3 linked regions of the Diceros bicornis minor genome follow. The protein of the gene in region 2 binds, or shares a complex with, the protein of the main gene of each other region. Links are inferred from orthologs where the notes say so. Each region holds a gene or a part of one and is shown on either strand. Other genes may lie near its edges.

Region 1 (3,739 bases), on a different chromosome or scaffold from region 2:
CGGTCTGGCACAGTGCCAGAGGCACGCATCGGAATGTGACTGTACGTGAGTCGGGCGGAAAACCCTTGACCCACTCGCGTCTCAGGGACAGAGTGTGGGGACTCAGAACTCTGTGCTTGAAGCCTCGCGCTGCTGAGATTGTATGACCTCCGGGGCTGACTGGCCTGAGACCCAGGGAGGGCGCTCTCCACCACCACCCTCACCCCAAAGCTCCTGGACCTTAGTCGGCTGCCATGGCCTGTGCTCAGAGGAGCGCTTCCCACCTCTTGTCCCCTACCTTCGCCAAGCTCCAGGGAAAGGGGGGAGAAAGGGACTCTCCATCACCGGAAGAGGGGCAGACTTCTGGTTGCTCTTACCCGGGTTTAGTGATCTCAACTCCACCTTCTAAAGTGGAGCGGCCAGCTGAGAGGACGAAGCACTTTTGTGGGACCTGGAGCTTCTTCAGGCTTTCACTCGCCCCCTGAAGACTTTGCGCTGACTAGGGCGCAGTTCTCAGGAACTGTTTCCAGCCAGGTTCCCTGGGGGTCAAAGTCCAGGGGATGCTCAAGACTGGGAGGGAGGAAAGTTTCTCTCAGGCTTCGACCTCGGCCTCCAGGGATCCCGACAGCTAAAACTGGGTGTCTCCCCTCGACGATAGATCCCCGCGGAGCCTCTGGCACCTGGCTCACCAGGGCCCTCGAGCTCTGCGCCTGGAGACTTCTCGCAATCCGGCTGCTCAACGCCCAGAGGCGCAGAAGACCTGGGCTTGGGCTGGGAAATTGACCTTCTAAAACCGACGTCGGGGTACAGGGGATGTAGCCCCGAGCCCGGAGAAAAAGTGAAAGGCGAGAAAACACGCACTGAATCGGGGCAAACATTTGAAGCCGGGGACCAAACTCCGCGCCTGGAGCAGCAGGAGAAAACAAACCCCGTGTCCAGGGGAAATTAAAAACCAGGGGGTTGAAGGTGGGGGCTGCTCCTCGCCCCTCACCTCCATTGCCCCCACTAAGGGTTCCAAGCCCCTGGAACTCCTCTCCACGAGCTCCTTCTTTCCTCTCCGCTTGGCCGGTAAGCGGCGGCCGCCGGCGCCCCAGCAGCAGCTAGATGTCAGGCGAAGCCCGGGGCGCGGCGCGCGGGGAAGGGAGGGGAGGGGAAAGGAGGGGGGAGTGGGGCGGGGAGCGCGCGCGGGCTTGGCCAGTGCGGGGGGTGGGCGGGCTGAGCCCAGGGACGGCGCGGGAGGGGGGAGAGAAGGGGGGCAGCTATGGGCAGGGAGCCGGGCTCGGCCGCCAGCACTAAAGATGGAGAGGCGCCGGGGCCTCGCAGGGGAGGGGGCTTGGCGTTGACGTGGGACGCGGCGGAGGCGCCGCAGCCGGTGGTGATTTGCTAACCTCACAGCAGAGAGGAGTTGAGGGCGATGAGAGCGGGTACTGCGAACTGCCGGGCGATGCCGCCGCTGCCGCCTTGATACCGAGAGCAACAGTTCCCCAGCAACACCCCTCCCCGACGCAGGCACACACCCCTCAAGAGGCACGCACACCCACCCTACAGCGCCTGGCTCGGCAGCGGTGAGTGGGATGTCGGGGAGGGGCGCACCGCTCAGCAATAGCCTTGCGCCAGGGCGCCCCAGGACTGGAGAGGTCTTGGGGGCGCGCTCGCTTCGGCCACTCGGCCGCTGGGCTTGTGCCTTATTTTATTCGGCTTGCTCCCTTCTTGCTGCTGCAGCCGTCGCCACCGCCAGTTGGGGGGGGGTCGGCTAGAAGGGGGAGCCCCGGCTGTCAGCCTAGGCGAGCTGCCTCCCCAACCCTTCCGCTCCAGGGCACGGTCGGGGTGAGAGGTAGGGGGCAGAGCGGTCTACAGTGGCTGAGGGCGCGAGCGGAGGATTGGGGATCCGGAGGCTTTGTACCACCAGGGGCCGGCAGTGGAGCCGGGGGCCGGTGGGTGCTCATGTGTATGCGGACCGGTGCGCGGGCGCGAGATAGGGTTGTGGTTTATTTGTGTGTTTATTCGCCGGTCGGCTGGGAAGCTAGAATCGGAGGATCCGAGGAGTGGATCTGGAGGCGAAGGAGAGCAGGACTGGGACTCACTTGGGTTTTGTTTCTCTTTGAAAAACGTGGTGGGCTCTTTTTTCTTGATTGGACTTGATCCCCCCGTTTTGGGGGGGAGGGGCAGCCGTGGCGTAGCTCCGGAGGGTCTCTAGGGCTCCGGGCCCTCCTCGGCTCTCGGCGGGACCGGCCGTGGCGCCGGAGCTCGCTGTGCGCTCCCGACCGCTCTCGGTGGGTGCCCCGGCTCTGCACCTGATGCGTTCGGGATGCCTTTCCCATCCTGGCGCTCCGGCAGCTCGCTCGCACAGCCCCTCGAACACTCCCGCACGCGCTCGAAATGCGCACGATCTCTCTGGCCCGCGGACCCACCAGAACGCACAGACGCGCTCGGCACCGACTCACTCGCCCGCTCCCTGAGACGTTCGCAACGTGCCTGGGGAGGCACGCCGGCTGCTGGCGCCGGAGGCCGGGGACCCTGCCCGTCACTCCCGGGAGTCACGGCCCTGGGTCGAAGAGGAAAGGCCGGCAGATCTTTTCTCGCCTTTCCTCCCACAACTCGCTGTCGGGCTTTTGTGCTTCCCCTTCGCCGCGGGGCGGGTCCGCCTCCTCGCGGCTCTCGCCAGGAGTCCAGCCAGCTCGGACTCTCGCTTTCCGCCCGGGTCTCTTTCGTTTTCCCTCTTCCCTAGCCCGGCTCCCTTTCTTTCTGCGGTCTGGCTCCCCGGGAAAAGTTGCTTCCCTAAGTTTGCTGAAGTCGTCTCCAAGTCTCTGTGGGGGTGGCTGGGAACTGGGGGTGTGTGAGAGCGCGATCGATCCCTGGAGCTCGAGCGGGTTAGCCCCGGCTTTCCCCCGCGGCGCCGGGCTGGGCGCCGCAGCCAGCGCCGGCCGGATCGTGGGCGCCGAGCCGCGGGTCGGGGGGACCGCTGACCGAGGGCACCCTGATTTCCCTCAGGACCCGAGGAGCTTGCTTTTGGGAAGGAATTGGGGTAGCCCAGCTTCCATTCTTTCGATTGCTCTCTCCTAGTTCTCCGAAACCCCGAAGTCTTCGGGAAGGCGCACGGTGGCGAGGCGCCGATGAATGGCCCTCCCATCCTTGACGGCCTCAGTCCCCACCCCAGGGTGGGCAGCAAAAGTGTCTCGATTAGCCGTCCTGTTAACCCTTTCTGCGTGGGATTTGTGGCTGTGGAGCCAATAGGGCTCCTTTTGGGGGCGGAGGCAAGCAGTGTTCCAGGAGTGAGGGAGAACCCTTGCTCTGCTTTGCTCCCAGTTCGTTTCACTGCAGTATTGGCCACAGCAAGGCAGAGGCTGGGGGTGACCTGGGCCTGGGGGTCTTTCTAACACTCTTTAAACCGAGTTTGGGCCTGCCAGAGCCCTGTTGTTGATCCCGAACAGCGCTTTGGGGAGAGGCCTTTGTCTCCCAGCCCTGTCCTCCCTTCATACTGGTTGTAACTAACACTGCAGATGCTGGTGCCAATATCACTTCTAGCGCCTCAAAGCCATGTCCAGCATCAATTGCTGCTCCTGGTCACAGGACTTGCCCACTCCTGGGAGCCTGTGGGACGCACTTGGAATTCATGTGCCCAGCATGTGCTCTCCTGGATGTAGGGGTGCATATTTCCTATGATCTCTTTCCGTAGATCTTTCATGACCTATCCTCCTACTTTTATAGATTCTCCCGTCCACTGGGCACTTGTGGGCAGGGGTAAGTGTGGCATCTTATA
Region 2 (3,739 bases):
AGGAGTAATGGGGATCTTGAGCCCTTCTGTGGATGTGGACAGCCACGGTTGTGCCTCTCCATTGATCTTAGGGGGCCCAACTTCACCTTCTGGTTCTGGAGAAGGCTTCCTTTTTCTTGCTGTTCTCGCAACTAGAAAATCAAAGAAATAAAAGAAAACAAGAGAAAATAAATGAACACGCAATAAAACATATCTTTCTTTTACTAATATGAAACAAAACTCACTAAACAATTCCTATTCTCTAAAAACTTGTACATAAAAACACACGCGAGTTTCCAGGGCACGTGCAACTTAAAACGCTTAGACTCATGAGGCTCTGAAGCAGTATACCACTTTAAAAAAAAAAAAAGCTACCGAAAATGGCACGTATGTAATCTCCTGTTTTAACACACGCATACATATACCCAGACTGAACTGTGCATACGATTGCTAACGTCCCCCAACAGGTTAAAAGGTGACTGGTGCCCTCATGCTCCCATCCAAGAATGTGCTGGGAAAGGAAAACCCTGTGTCAGTGCCTATCAGCCTAGTCTGACTCATCTCTGTTATGCTGCTTCAGCACATGAACACGTTGCCACTAAGCACTGGTTCCGCCTCAGGCAGATCAGGAAGTTGGGTGTTTGTTGTTTCTGGGCTAGAGTAGAACGGTGAATGGAAAGAGCACCCCCTCCTCTGCTCTCCGTCCCCTTGTCTCCCCTAGAGCCCCTCACTCCACAGCCGCCCCTACCTGCTTTAGACCCGTTGGCCCCGTTGGCCTCGAAACCCAACAACCTGCCTGCAGTCAGGGCCGGCTCCTTCTTAAACTTGCTCTCGAAGGGCCCCGAGTGGCCGTGCTGGTGCAGCGCCAGCAGCGTGTCGCGCACGGTCTTGGGCCTGTTGACCCAGTCCTGCTCTCCGGGCCCGCGGCCTTTGCCCACGCCCTCGGGGCCCAGCTCGGCGGCCCCGGCCGCAGTGGACAGGCTGTCGGTAGGGCCGCGGTGCGAGGGCGGCGGCGGCTGCTTCTCCTTGGCCGCCGCCTCGCGTTGCTCGTGCTCCGCGGCCGCGCTGCTCGACACAGACGCCGGCCGCTTGTGGGCGCCCAGGTCGGCGGGCTGCGCCGAGCCCAGGCCGGCGGCCGCGGCCCCCGACACGGCGGCCAGCGAGGCGGCGGCGCGGCCGCTGAGACCCAGCGCGGCGGGCAGCGGCGTAGCCGAGCCGTTCATGAGCGGCACCAGGGTGGGCGGCACGGCGTGGCCGCGCCGCGGGTTCGGACTCTGGCGGTTCAGCTCGGGCGGCTCCTCCAGCTTGGAGAAGCCGTTGGGCACCAGGATGCCGTTCACGGGCGGCGGCTGCGGCGTCGGCGGCTGGGCCAAGCCCGCGGCCGGGCGGCTGCCGCCAAAGTCGGAGCCGAGGCGCGGGGGCCGCTCGGCGGCGGCCGCCAGGGGGTAGCGCTCCAGGGCCTGCGGGCCGCGCGGGGCCGCCTCGGGGCCGCCGTGGCCGAGCTGCTGCTGCTGCTGCAGGAGGAGGTCCTTGGCCGAGAGCGGCGGCGGCTTGGCGGCGGCCGGGGCCGCGGCGCCGGGCGGGGAGCGGCCCTCCGGGAAGCAGCCGTGCGCCCGCTTGAGCTGCCGCGCCGTCTCGATGACGAACTCGACGCGGTCGGCGCCCTCGTAGTTGACGCAGCCGCGGCACACGGGCTCGGTGAAGTCCCAGATCATGGCCCAGGGCATGCGGGGCAGGTCACACAGGTAGCACGACTGCCGCCGGGACGCGGCCGCCACCGCCACCGCCGCGGCCATGTCCGAGGAGCCCGCGGCGCTGGCGGCGGAGGAGGAGGAGGAGGGGGCGCCGCCGCCCCCCGCCGGCACCACGCGCGCCCTCCTCCCCCCCCAACCCCGCGGCTCCCCCACGAGCGGCGGCGGCGGCCGCGGCCGCAGAGGCGGCGGCGGCGGCAAAGCCCGCGAAAGCTCGGCGCCCGCGCAGCGCCCCCGGTGCACCAGGGGCGGCGGGCGCGGGGCGAGGGGCTGCAGCCGCGGCAGCACGTCCCCCCGGCCGGCGCGGGCGGGCGGCGGGGCGGCGCGGCGCGGCGGGCGCGGCGGCGGAGGCTCGGCCGGGGCCGCGGCGGGCCTCCAGACCGGGGCAAAGACGGGCCGCGCGGGCGCGGGGGAGCGCAGCAGGTCGCGGCGGCGGCCGGAGCGGAGTGTGGGGCGGGGGGCGGGGAGGCCGGGGGGGCGGGGGGCGGGGGGCGGCCGCCGGGGCAGGCTCAGCCCGAGCGGCGGGGCATGCCGCGCCGGGGCGGCGGCCGGGCGGCGTGGAGCGGACCCCGGGTCGCTCCGCTGCTCTCTCACAGCTTCTGGCGTCGCCGCTCTCCAGCGCCCGCGTCAGCGCCCAGCCCGCGTCAGCGCTGCCGCCGCCGTCGCTGCTGCTGCTGCCGCCGCGACCGCTCCACTTCTACAGACTTGATTCTTCGACAGCCTCGCACGGCGCCTGCGCGGGCCCCCTCCCCTCGCGCGCGCGCCCGCCCTCCCCCGCGCCCGCCCCTCCCCCCGCGCGGAGAACGAGCGCTGCCGGGAGAGCCGGCTCCACGGCGCCCGCCCTGGGTCAGCGCCGCCCGCCCGCGCCGCGCCGGTGGCCCCGACGTGAACACGGTGCGAGAGTGGTTTGCCTTCCTCCACCCGCTCGGCGACCTCGCCTTCAGTCAGGGTTCCCTCCCCTCCAGGTGCATTTGGGCACAATCGTGTGAAAACTCATGTTTTTAAAAGCAACGCCACTTTCTAACTTGGTTCTGTCAATCTCTTGAGAAAGGGGATTTTAAATCTAGCTTGGTTCACAGTTTTGAGATTTTTTCAGTTGTATTTGAACTCTTCAGTAAGTGTTTTTACACTCGCATTTGTCTTGAGGACACATGTGCCGCCGGTCCCCTTAAGTTTTACTAACATAGGAGAGTCTGACTATGCCCAAGCTTAGGACAGCGTCCATACGCCGTTTCACGGAGCCCTTCAGGAAGGGAGCGCGAGCCCTATCGTTACAAACACCACCAAAGCTCCCTCTCAAGCCCGCTCTCACCTCCCCACAAGATCACACCCCACCCTACGGAGCAGCAACCCTCGCGGAGCCACCAACCCCTGCCGCCTTATGTAGGTCCGCTCGGCGTGCGCGTGACGTGGGCGCGGGGCCGCGGGCCCGCGTGCGCCGCCGCCGCCGAGTGCGCACGCTCCGCGCGGACGTGATTCGGCGCCGCTGGCACTGGCGGCCTCATTGAACGAATGCACATTCCAGGGATCCAGGGTCTACGGCCAGCGCGGCGGCGTCACCACGCAGGCTCCGCCCCCACCGCGGACTCTGGACGGCCAGGCCCCGCCCCTGGGGCCAAACTTGGACTGGGGATGGCGTGGGCCGCGGGCGCGAGCGGCGGCGGGGTCGGTGGCGGCCGTAGGGGTGACGAGCGGGCCGGCCTGCGGGCCGCGCTGGCAGTTGTCGCGCAGGGGCGGGCCGTTGGTCGGCGTCCAGGGCGCTGTGTGGGGCGGGAGCGGAATTGCGCCCATTGCGCGGCCCCGGCCGGGCTTAGCCCCCATTGGGTGCAAACCCGCCTGGCGCGAAGGCGGGGTGTGGCGGCAGAGCCAGCCCGGCCCGCCGCGCTCTGCCACTGTTGGCAGCCACAGACTGAATTGAGCAGTTGAGTTTCACACTTTTATCGGGAGGAGGAGCTGGTGTGTGTTATAGTAAATCACTTTTAGCTGGTCGTTAGTCTTACTAATAGACG
Region 3 (3,739 bases), on a different chromosome or scaffold from region 2:
TATGCAACCGTCTTTCACATACAGTATCTCATTTGTTCCCAAAAGCAACCCTATCAGATACACAGTTAAGTATTATTATCACCTTCCATAGAACTAACCTCACTAGGCAGCTACTGAACTTATTTTTCAGTTGTGTACTGTCAGCTCAACAACTAGAATGCACTATCTCCCCAGAGGGTAGAGAAGTTGTCCTCCTGTTCCCAGTTGAACCCTCAGAGCCCAGCACTGTGTCTGGGGCATAGTGAATGTTCTAGTAATATTTATGAAATGAATAAATAAAGTCCCTTGTCTGCTTCAAGACCTTTTTGGTATAAAGCATGTAATGCAACCATGTCCCAGATACCCCATTTAGAGTTCAGTGGTCTGTTCTCTATCAAAAGGAAATTGTGTGAAAATGCTCTGAAAACTACAGCTTATACTCAATGATACTAAGAATAAAAGTACACTTTCCTTGGCAACATGGGAAAATCGATGCACATCACATGTAAAACAACCAAAGTTTCAAATTTTTCACTACTAAGTTTAAACATCTTTAACTAGCTTTGGTATATTGAATATGTGCCTAATAAAGAACTTCAGAAAGCAGAGAAAGAGAAAAGTGCGGCCACAGTTCATAGAGTTTTCAGTACTTGAGGACAACCATTTGCCATAATTTGCTTCCAATTTAACTACAAACCCTTACTTTTGATTATGATGACATTTTTACAGGTGGGTCTGAAATATGTGGAATTATCTCTAACTTTTGAAGGTCAGCAGAAAAAGAGACAACTCATTGAGAATGAAATATGTAAATGTTTAATATTAAGAAGCAGCTACAAATCATAACAGACAAGAACTCTGGGATCTAGAGGCCAAAATCTAACTTCTTACACAACAGGCTAAGTTATAAATTATAATCATTCACTAATTACAGTGAAATTCCGGACTTTGCCACCTCAATCAATCAATGTTCCAAAATTACCCCTTAGAAATGCCATATTAAGTCCTAAACATTCCATCTGCGGAAGTTTCCTTAAAAAAGACAAGTTTTTCCAGGATTTTTTAGGTTTCTATTTCCATCCTTTCCCTCTCCAAAAAAAGAATGATTGGGGGGAGGGGAGCAGTTTGAGAAAACTAGAGAATCCTGAATCTGTGTGCACGACGAAGTTAAACAGGGATCACCCTCGGGGTCGTGGTAAGGGAGCGCGCATCTGTGGAACATCAAGACCATCCACCTTCCATACTCAGTCTGTCACCAGACCCCTGTCTGCACCTGCCCTCAAGCACCAAAAAGTGCAGGCTGCTAAGTTCCAATTATTTGCAGTCAGTCTGAAAACTAATAAAAGACTGCAGGCTTGACAGCAACCTTGGTGATTCCTGAAAATCCACAACAGGAAATGTAACTATCCTCCACCCTCCCGAGCCATTCATCAAAAGCAGACCGAGTCACAGCAACAAGGAGGCCAGGGGCAGGAGGCAAACGCCAGCACTATTCCTCACTTAGAAGGACTCCGCGTTTTCTTATTCCGCAACCAAGGACGAGGAGCACTACCCACTGCCCACACTGGAGGGAAGAGGCTGAAGAGGGAGTCCCTCCCTCTTGGGGTAAAATGTCCCCAAGTTCCAAGGACTATCCTATGGGGTTAAAGATGGGTGAAGGCCACGCTGCCAATGTAAGGCAACCTCGACTGCCAGTCCCAGAGGTCACGTTTACAGCTGATGACCAAGGGTCCTGCCTACACCGACTGACCCGGGTGCCTCACCTGGTGCCCGGAACACCGTCTTTGCGCCCGGCTCGGGCTGCCAGCCTCCTTCCCTTCTCCGCCTCTAACGGGGCAAGGGGGTCAGCGCGGCAAACGCACCCACACCTGGGGCCTAAGGGAGATGCCACTGCGTCCTGGGCAGGAGGATGAGGGGCATCCTGGCGCCCTCCGAACTTGGAAAGGCTTCCGAGCCCCCCTCGGGGGCCGGCGCCCAGGCCGTGGCGCTGAGGGCGGCCGCAGGCGGGCGGGCGCCACGATTGGCCGCGGCGGGCAGCGCTCGGTGGGCGAGCCCGGCCGGCGAGGCGGAGAGGAAGTGGCGGCCGCGGCTTTGCACCAACCATGTTCGGCCGGCGGGCAGATGCCACTCGGCGCCCAGAGCGGGGTCAGAGGGCGCGGGGCGGGCACTCACGTCCCCACCCCGCGGCAGCCCGCGCCCCAGGACCCCCGGTGGACGCCGGCCCCCACGCCTGCCAGCAGGGCGCCGCTCGGTCCCCCGAGGCTCCCCGCCCCCACCTCGCCCGCTCCGTAGCCGAGGCGGGTCAGGCCCAGCGCGCCAGGCCGGCCCGGGGGCGCCCGCGGGGACCCGGAGGCGCCCGGCTAGGCCGCGGCCGGGGCAGATGACCCCTCGGCGCGCCGCCCTCCCCGGACGCGCCGCCCGAGCCCCCCGCGCGCCAGGACAAGTGCAGTGACAAAGCCCCAGGGCCAGGCCGGGCGCTGGCCGGCGGGAAGGAGGACGCGGCGTCCCCCCCGAGCGGCGGCGGCGGCCCAGCCCCCAGGAAGCCGGGCGTGCCGGCCAGGCCCGGCGCCCAGCCCAGCTCCGAGCCCGCCCGCCGGCTCCGGCCGCTGGCACCCGCCGCCTGCGCCCCTTCCCCGAGCCCCAGGGGCGGGCGAGCTCTGGGACCGCCGCGGGGCGCACCATCAAGTTTCCTTTCGCCGCGGCTGGAGGCGCCTCTCCCGGCCGGGGCGCGGGCGCAGACAGCCCGGCGGGCAGCGGGTTCTGCTTATTTACGCTGGAGGCTGCCTGGAGAGGGGCGCCGCCGCCGGGCACCCAGAAGGACCCGCTCCCCTCCTTCGGATCTGGTGGCGACGGCATCTGTAAACACACACACGCACACACATGTCCGCGACAATTTTGTTTTAAAAAGGAGGCCCGACTCCAGCGGACCTGCACCCCCACACACAACACCTGGGGCGCAGAATCACACAGAGCAGGTCCGTGTCCATGGAGCCACCTCTCCGCATCTGCAAATCCAAAAGTGAAATTAAACCTCCACCGACCTCCTCCTCCTCCTCCTCCTCCTCCCTCTCTACCTCCTCCTCCTCTCTGCAGCCTCAGCAGCCCCAGTAGCAGCAGCAACAGCAGCAGAACCTGCTTCCCCTAAAATCAGATGATCCATAACGGCGCCGACTGTTCCTCCAAAAATCGGTATTAATATTTATGAACCTCAGCATTTTCCGTCTGCAAAACATCGTGTCAAACCATCAGGACACGCACGCATACATCTCCCCTCCGGTCCTCATAAACATGCCCTCGAGAAAAACACACACGCACAGTCACAACTATTATTTGAAAAATGTTACCTCTCAGTGTGCTTTTTCACGCTACCAATACAATTCCGCAAGGTTTAAGTGTTGCTAGGGTGTATGAAATGGAAATGAAAGCCCGTCAGTTGAATAATCGCAGGAGCAAAACTAAAAGTTACTCCCCGGCTTGCCTGAGAACAGTCCAGATCGAAAGCAAAACAAGGAGAGGAAACTGCGAAGAGCCGAGGCTGGAAATCCCCCCACCCCCCGCCCTCCTCCTGCTTCCCTCCCTCGCTCCCTCCCTCGCTCCCCCCTCCGCCCTCCTCCCTCCGCCCTTCCTCCCCAGTGTTTGTTTCAAGCTTGTGCAACCGGGAGGTGGAGGCGGAGGGAGGGCGCGCGCGGCCCGGCCCGGAGGTGCGGAAGTTCGCCGCCGCCGTTCATTGGCAGGCAGCGCCGCTGTCATCATTTCTCGG

The links.
Region 1: the proteins of IRF2BP2 (region 2) and ZBTB16 are in contact, whole or in part, in a crystal structure (PDB 8YTH), measured with the Homo sapiens proteins. The link is inferred for Diceros bicornis minor from reciprocal best matches to the Homo sapiens genes IRF2BP2 and ZBTB16. Residues at the interface, in NP_892017.2 of Homo sapiens: Thr516, His517, Phe518, Val519, Gln520, Pro522, Phe531, Leu557, Trp564, Ala565, Phe566, Met567, Glu570, Thr573, Ile574; in NP_001018011.1 of Homo sapiens: Arg285, Ser287, Val288, Ile289, Thr290, Ser291.
Region 3: the proteins of IRF2BP2 (region 2) and IRF2 are in contact, whole or in part, in a crystal structure (PDB 8YTG), measured with the Homo sapiens proteins. The link is inferred for Diceros bicornis minor from reciprocal best matches to the Homo sapiens genes IRF2BP2 and IRF2. Residues at the interface, in NP_892017.2 of Homo sapiens: His517, Phe518, Val519, Gln520, Pro522, Phe531, Leu557, Trp564, Ala565, Phe566, Met567, Glu570, Thr573, Ile574; in NP_002190.2 of Homo sapiens: Arg331, Ala332, Ser333, Val334, Ile335, Lys336.

Annotation. Positions count from the first base shown.
Region 1 is NC_080746.1:22,382,454-22,386,192, reverse strand, and holds the start of ZBTB16 (zinc finger and BTB domain-containing protein 16), read left to right. Parts: upstream 1-1,317; 5' UTR 1,318-1,544; intron 1,545-3,739. UniProt on the Homo sapiens protein: Acts as a transcriptional repressor. Transcriptional repression may be mediated through recruitment of histone deacetylases to target promoters. May play a role in myeloid maturation and in the development and/or maintenance of other differentiated tissues.
Region 2 is NC_080745.1:21,814,280-21,818,018, reverse strand, and holds the start of IRF2BP2 (interferon regulatory factor 2-binding protein 2), read right to left. Parts: upstream 2,290-3,739; 5' UTR 1,776-2,289; coding exon 728-1,775; intron 132-727; coding exon 1-131. UniProt on the Homo sapiens protein: Acts as a transcriptional corepressor in a IRF2-dependent manner; this repression is not mediated by histone deacetylase activities. Represses the NFAT1-dependent transactivation of NFAT-responsive promoters.
Region 3 is NC_080768.1:16,193,235-16,196,973, forward strand, and holds the start of IRF2 (interferon regulatory factor 2), read right to left. Parts: upstream 2,907-3,739; 5' UTR 2,836-2,906; coding exon 2,659-2,835; intron 1,950-2,658; exon of another isoform or gene 1,743-1,949; intron 1-1,742. UniProt on the Homo sapiens protein: Specifically binds to the upstream regulatory region of type I IFN and IFN-inducible MHC class I genes (the interferon consensus sequence (ICS)) and represses those genes. Also acts as an activator for several genes including H4 and IL7.